Alligator mississippiensis: one gene and its partner. The protein of the gene in region 1 purifies or fractionates together with the protein of each later gene. This does not show direct contact. Links are inferred from orthologs where the notes say so. Each region holds a gene or a part of one and is shown in the gene's direction. Other genes may lie near its edges.

Region 1 (3,746 bases):
AGGTATCCAGAGTAGGTGCTTGCACCACTTCGGGGGGGAGGGTGTCTATTCCAGACTCTGGAGGCTCGGACGGTAAAGTTTTTCCTTATGTCCAATGTAAAACAGTCTTCCAGCAGTTCGTGACCATTGAACCTTGCCTTCCCTTGGGGTGCCCTGGTGAATACACACCCCGATATACTTATATACTTTAGATCCCTTCTTTCCACAGGCATTAATGACTCTCTCTTCTTTTGAATGGTCTGGAGGTTGCAGCAAGGAAGCCAGCCTTCGTTTTCCCACTCTGCAGTTCGCTGCTCCTGGTCACTAAGCTCCTATTTCACAACCCTGCCGGTTGTTTTGTAACTCCTGCTCACCAAGTTGTAGGAGTTTTCGCTTCCACCTGAAACACAATAACCTGGCCTGAGGACCCGGGGCCCATTAGCAAAGCATCTAGTTTCTTTTTTAACTGGAAAATAGCGGGTGTTGCACGATGATGTCCCTCGCCCGTTTGCAGAATAGACCTGCCGGTGGCTATTTTCAGACGCAGGTGCCCAATTCAGGGCAGCGGACACATCTCCCCCTTGCTTTGGGAGGTCTTTCCTCCAGCAAAAGGAGACCCCCAGGGCACTGGCAGAGGGGCTGCGGGAGCTGGCCCTGGAGATGGGCCATAATGCACATGACAACATGCATATGAACCCCTCTGAGCTCCCTGGACCCGAAGCAGCCCATCCTCCCCCTCTGCAGCTGCTCCAGTCCCGCCCCGCCTACGGCTGCTCGGTCCCTGCAGACAGGCGGGCGGGGGTTTTCCCGCAGTGTGGCAGCCGCGCATTACGACACGGCGCAAGGTGGAGGGGCAGCGGTTTACGGCAGTGTCTGCCCTCGCCCGCCCGGGCGCGCTTTGCGGCGGCGTGGCGGGGGGCGGGGAAGATGTCTGAGCGGGGAGAGGCGCCGGCGGCGGCGGCGGGCGCGGGCAGCGAGATGCCGGCCAAGAAGCAGAAGCTGAGCAGTGACGAGAACAGCAACCCCGGGGACCTGTCCGGTGACGAGAACGTGAGCGGGGCGCGGCGGCGGGGCTGGGGGCGGCCTCGGGCCTCCCTCCGCTGCGGGGCCGCAGGGGCCCAGGGCCGGCCGGGCGCGTCCATTGGGGCGGGGGGCAGGAATCCCCCCCCCCGCTCGGAATGGAACAGGCCCGCGGGCGCCCACGTGGGGACAGCATCAGAGGTGTCATAATGGGGGGGGGCGGTCCGCCCCCATGGGCTCTGTTTTGGGGGGGAATGAAAGTGGGAATGGGGGGTCCGCAAGGGCAGGGTAGAGACATGAAGTCTGGGATTGGCGGGGCCCAGGGCAGACGTGTGCGCCGGGCTCCTAGTGACAGGTGGCAACTGCGTGGGGTCCTGAATTGTGTGTGTAGGGGGTGTGTATATACGTGCGTGTGTAAGGGGGTGTATACTTGTGAGTGGCACATGAAATAGGCCTGCCTGAAGGCCTGAATTTCCTTAGCACTTTCTTAAACAGCAAGGAGCAACTCTTTTCGGCAGGCGTGTCACAGCTTATCCCTGCATCCTCTCCCAGGTGTCACTGCCGTCCCCTTCCCCTGCCTGATCGGCTGCTCTGCTATCTGCTCCCTGCCCAATCCGCCACTGGGCTGCCTGTCCCCTCCCCAGTCTGCTCTGTGCCAGGCTGCCAATGCTACTTGTGCTACTTGGGCTGCAGGTTGGCTGCCCCTGGGCGGAAACAGCCAAACCGTACGTATTTGTGGCCAAAAACTTCAAAAAAAAGTTGCAGTGCTGAAGCGAAGGGTTATTGATCTGAAACAAAACTTTGTTGAAGCGATGAGTCAACTTCTGACAGCTGTGGCCTGAGTAGGTACAGAAAGAATACGTTCTTCACCTGTGATGTTCCTTTCTGTACCACGACTAGGTTGTTCATAACTGAGAAACTGATGTGAACCAGGAAAGCTTGGGTTTTCTCTTTAACCTATGAATAAAAATTAGGTATGAGGCTGAGACCTTAGTTCTCAGACCTCGACTATCATAGGACTGCCTTACAAGGGCTGTGCGCCTCCTCCCACCACGGCTGAGCTCCATGGGGCTGGTGGAGCTGATCAGAGCGCAGCCCGGTGGCAGGAAGTGAGGACAGCCAGGGCTGCGTTCCCCACCGGGCTGAGCAACATGGGGCTGCGGAGCTGCTTGGAGCGCAGCCCTGGCTCTCCCCTGCCTCCCACCACCGGGCTGCTTCAAAATTCAAAATGTTTCGAAGCTGTTTCAATGCTTTTTGTTTCGTTTCGATTTTGCTGTTTTGAGCTCAAAACACGTCAAAACAGCTTCGAAAGGAAACACTCAGCGAAATTTCACACAGCCCTAGTAGTTAATAAGAAGGAAGTAAGGCCATGCAGAGGAATTGAGTGTTACACCCTATTTGACAGTGACGTTTTATTGTATACGTGCATAGGTACTTACATCTCTGTAAAAACACTTTTCAGTGCAGTGTTACAATAAATTGTGACTTGACCTTTATAGAAAAACGTATCAGTAAGTAGTCCCTTTCTCCGTCCTGAAAGGGCTACAAATAGACTGAACAGAGGTCACTGTAAGACTGAGATCTCCAAAATTAACTTTAAAATCTATGGAAAAGTCTCTCAGATCTCAACATGTGAAAGAATGACCAGAAAGTTAGAAACATAGAAATGCCAAGGAATATATGCATATCTAAGAAATCGTGTTCTATTTATTTTTATTCATTGCTTTTTGGTTCTTTTTTCCTAAAGAACGGCAGGTTCTCAGTAGGTAGTAACTATTAAGGCAGGTCTTGATAGTTTAATATAACCTCTACCAATTTGGTACTTGTCTTTACTAACTTGAAGGCTATATTAAGTATATGTTTGAGCAATTATACAGCTTAGAAATACATTGATATATGTTAACATAATAAAATGCAATAATCACCGTGTTCATCATTACCTACTTGCCAAACCATTCATTTTTGTTTTGGGATGTTCATAAAGCTTCTTCAGGGTGGAAATCTGATTTCAATTAAAATGCTGATTGTCTGCATTTTAATTTATTTTTTATTAGTTAAAACTAGGTTAAGTGCTAGATACAACACAAAAGAGCCGTATTGAATTCCATTTAATATATAAAACTAACTGATTAGTTAAATAGAAGAAGCATCTATATTCTGTAAATTGAACTGATTGTTTCTGGTCATGATGGTCCAGAAGCACAAAAAAGAGGACTTCTTCACAGACTCCTCATAAGAGTGCTAACCCTCTCCGTAACCTCCTAGGCAGAAAAAGGACTTGGCAAAGGACAAAATCCCCACGTGTCCAGAACTGACGTCACGTAGGCAGGACTGCCTCACATCTAAGCCCATTTGGGATCTTTATACTAAGCCCAAGTCCACTGAAGATGCCAGTCTGATAGGCCTGCTTTGAGTATACCTACTACATACTGACAAGAAAAAATACAGCAAGAAATTGCAGTCTCAGCCACTTTCATTCAAAAACACAACCAGTGGAGGTGGTGATGCTATCACTCACCCTACATATATATACCCTTGTGGTTAGAGCTCTTCTGCAGGAAGTAGGAGATCAAGGTTCAATGCCTGCCTCAGTTTTACGAAGTACAAACTCTCACCTAAAACTGTCGTGATCACCAAGATACAATCAAGTCAGGGACAAGGCACTCACCACTCCTCCAGTTGAAGGTGCACTCCACTGTATAACACATTACATGATGCCTTGCGGCAAAGAGGCAAGGCATGAATAA
Region 2 (3,746 bases), on another chromosome or scaffold:
TCCTTTCCTGATTGCAGAAACACAGGAGAGTGATACTTCTGTGGCAAAGAACTGAGAGAGGCCACAACCGAGCAGCCTCGCCCTGTGGTGCCTGGCTAGGCTGTCCCAGGTGCCACAGGGCGAGGTGTGCACACACAGGCTTTGGAAGGATTTCACGCAGGGGAACCCCAGCACTGAGAGAGGCCATGAGGGAGCTGCCTGCACTTAACACTTTGTTTTTTAAGGAAAAATGTTCATGTTCCAAGCCAAATCGATTCCAAATCCGCGAGTCATTCCAGAATCAAACGTGGCACTGCTCCACCCCTGCCTGGGGCTTCAGATGCTTCTCAATCCTTTGATGGGCATCCTCTGTGCAGGCCTGGCAGCTTGGGGTTCAGGTGCCCCCGAGTTCCCCTTGCCCTCGGGGGCATGGCTGCAGGAGCACGTGCAGGAGGAGTCGGCATGTAGCCAAGATCTGCCCGCTGGATTATCTCCATCAGGATACTACCCCCTGCCAAGAAAGTGGTTTTCCCCTACAACTAGGAAAACCACCTTCATGGTTATGGTATTCCCCTGCCAGGTAAGTACCGGGGGGCTTCCCCGTGTGAAAGCCTCGCCCTGTGGCACCCCGTGGCACATGGGACAGGCACCCCAGGGTGAGGCTGCTGCGCTGGCCACCACGGCTGCTCCACAGGCGCAGGGGGCACCACGTGAGTAGCCCAGGGGCACTGGGCGAGTCCACAACAGGAGCCGCGCAACTTCCCTCCCGTGTGTGCGCAATGCAGCGCTCCATCTACTTCTGCCCCCTCCCCTTTCGCACTTGGAACAGCCCGTCCTATGCAGAAGCCTCGTTCTCGCTTCCCCTCCTCCGCGGGCGCCAGGCGCTGCCCCCCCCCCCTCCTCCAACGGCTCTATTTTGTCCCCGGGCGCGCTCCGTAGCGCGTGCGGCGGCCCCTCCCTCTGCGGCTGCCCGGCGCGGCGGTAGCAGGAGGACAGGCGCACACGCACGCACGTACACGGGCGGGGACACGCACGCACGCACGGCGGCTCGGAGGCGCCATGGCGGCTGCTCGCAGCGACATGGCGGAGCTGGAGGGGCCGCTGCCCGGCCAGGCGGCTGAGGAGGAGGCTGGAGCGGAGGCCGGCGGCGGGGCTGGAGTCGGGGCGGGCCCGCGGGCGGTGCTGCTGCTGCTGGGCGGCGAGGCGGAGAGCATGTCGGAGCGCAGCCCGGGCAGCGCGAGCCAGGCGGGCGACGAGGAGGAAGAGGACGAGGAGGAGGAGGGCGGCGAGGAGGAGGAGAGGAGTAGCCTGGCGGGTAGCAGCAGCGGCTGCTGCAGCGACGAGACGCGCTCGCTCAGCCCCGGCGGCAGCAGCGAGGCGGACGCCAAGGATGAGCCCAAGGGCCCGCGGGGTGGGCAGGCAGCAGGGCCGGGCCGCGGCGGCGCGGGGGGCTGCGGGGCCGGCGGCAGCAGCAGCAGTAGTAGTAGCAGTAGTAGCAGCAGCGTGTCGAGCGGCGCGGACGAGGGCTACGGCACGGGTGGCGGCGGCAGCAGCAGCTGCAGTGCCACGTCGGGTGGCCGCCGCGGCAGCCTGGAGATGTCGTCGGACGGGGAGCCGCTCAGCCGCATGGACTCGGAGGACAGGTGGGTTCAACGGAGGGACCGCCCTGCCCGTCAGCCACAGGTTCCACCTTCCCCCCCCCCCCCCCCCCCCCCCCCCCGATCGGCCACCGAGAGAAGGGGCCGGGCAGCTCTGCTGTTGCAAACACCTCGGTTCGTGGCGTTTGTAAGGCTGCCGAGTTCCACTACACCCCTCTGGTGGGGTTCGTGTCTGCTCACCTAAGGGCCGGGTGTATGCTGTGCGGCACCCTAGAAAGGGTCCGCAGGCACCCTGGGGTACTTCATGTTGTCCCATTGTGTTCTCCCCCATACACAGGGTTGAGAATTGCCAGGAGAAGTGTAAAAGTCATTTGTCCCTTCAGCTTCTGGGGGACGAAGAGCCTCCTGCATATGATTTTGTCACTGGCTGGGTTTCGTGACCCTGAACAGGACAGTTACTGATTTATACAGGTGTAAAAATCTACTTGGTCCTAAAGGTTGTGCTTCTCCCCCCCCCCCCCAAAAGGGTTGGACAGATTGGGTTGGGTTTGGGGCTTCTCAGCCTCTTGTAGGCTAGGATCAAGTGTAGTGAATCTTGAAATGCAGCCCCCTGGATTTATTTACTTATTTATGTTTTGGAAGCCCTTCAGTCTGGTACCTACAGGAGGCTTTTGTAAGCATAGCTTAATAGAAGGTGGATACTTGCATTGTAAAGTTTCATAGTTTTTCCGGGGTGCTGTTGTTTTGTTTTGTTTATTTGTTTTAAGTTAACCTGTCTCTGAAGTTGTACTTCCCATTGCAGTACAGCTAGTGTGTTGTAATAGTCTAAGGTGAAATGTTAAACGTTAAACTGAGTTTATTTTGATGCGTTCTGTCAGTTTCAGTATAAATGTCTAGGTCCTACAGAGAGGAAGTAGCAACCTGGCTGTAACACTTCTCTTAGAGAATTTTAATGTACTTGCTCTAACACATGCTGCCTTCCATTACATGGGAAAACCTTTCCACATATTTTTTTCTCACTAAAAAGTATGTAGGCAGTTTTGTTCCTTCTTATTATTTCCCCCCCTTAACTCTAGTGTGGGTTAAGAATACATGTAGCTGTTACCTTTAGAAAACCATTCCTCAATTTTATATCTGGCTATATAATATGTATACAATTGGATCTATTCAGAAAAATAATTGAGTTCCATACACTATAAAAGTTCTTATCCATTTATATGAAGTTTTCTAAATGAGCAATTAATTTCATGTGTAATGTAGAGTTTACTTTAACCACTGTCTGTGTAATCTAAACTGGTAAAGTACACAACCTATATAGGGATTTTTTCATAGTTGGGTTCTAAGATTTATTTGAAAATATAGTAAAGCTGTGTTTTTCACTACTCTGAATTTGTTAGGGTTTTCTGGGATGTTAAAATTGCAGATGTGTAGGAGGCTTCAATGCGCAACCCCAAGTGTTCATGAGCTGTGTAACAAGTGCCCCCAAACAGATTTTTAAATCAAGTGACTTGATCTAAAAATCATTACACTTTTATAGAGAGAGAGAAGAGATATTTTATTATTATTATTATTATTATTTCTTTCTTTGGGTTCAACTTTTATGTTGGTCAGATTATCAACCTTTTCTCTGCAACCCTAAGGCTTAGAAACATTTTTTTTTTAAGTGAAAGATGAGACTTTATGAAATCCTGTGTCTTTAAGAGAGAGTCTCTCTGCTAGATGTGCCATAAACTTGTGAAGATTGGCAGTTGCAAGTACGCATTTTTTCTTCTCATCTAAATCAGATCATATATTCGGGTGGCTTAGTCCTTGAAATATTAGACTAGAAGAGGGGAGCTCGCTAACCTGTGGGGCTCAACCCAAAAAAGTAGTTGGGTTAGGATAGGAGAGCAATAGAAAAAAATGGCAGAGTTTCTCTTAAACAATTTACCTATTATCTGGTGGGACTTGTGGGAACCCCAACTTTCTCGCTATTTCTTTTTGTGTGTGTCTGTTTTCATGTTCTGAGATGGCCGTGCATCTAAATCTGTGCATGCAGTTTTCTGCACCCACTCATAGCACCCTTGTTGCTTTTTTTCAGATTCAGTCACAGGAGTAGGGGCCCCAGAGACAAGGTGTGGCAGGGGCTGTTCTGTTCTGTGATGCCTGTGAAGTGCTCTACAGAAAGTA

What was found. The genes of interacting proteins can lie anywhere in the genome.
Region 2: the proteins of EED (region 1) and AEBP2 purify together in Homo sapiens (affinity purification with mass spectrometry; 6 studies listed by BioGRID and IntAct, counting the BioPlex papers as one, with this or other methods). This does not show direct contact. The link is inferred for Alligator mississippiensis from reciprocal best matches to the Homo sapiens genes EED and AEBP2.

What each region holds. Positions count from the first base shown.
Region 1 is NC_081824.1:458,979,939-458,983,684, reverse strand, and holds the start of EED (polycomb protein EED), read left to right. Parts: upstream 1-891; 5' UTR 892-906; coding exon 907-1,029; intron 1,030-3,746. UniProt on the Homo sapiens protein: Polycomb group (PcG) protein. Component of the PRC2/EED-EZH2 complex, which methylates 'Lys-9' and 'Lys-27' of histone H3, leading to transcriptional repression of the affected target gene.
Region 2 is NC_081827.1:123,059,012-123,062,757, forward strand, and holds the start of AEBP2 (zinc finger protein AEBP2), read left to right. Parts: upstream 1-953; 5' UTR 954-1,038; coding exon 1,039-1,622; intron 1,623-3,746. UniProt on the Homo sapiens protein: Acts as an accessory subunit for the core Polycomb repressive complex 2 (PRC2), which mediates histone H3K27 (H3K27me3) trimethylation on chromatin leading to transcriptional repression of the affected target gene.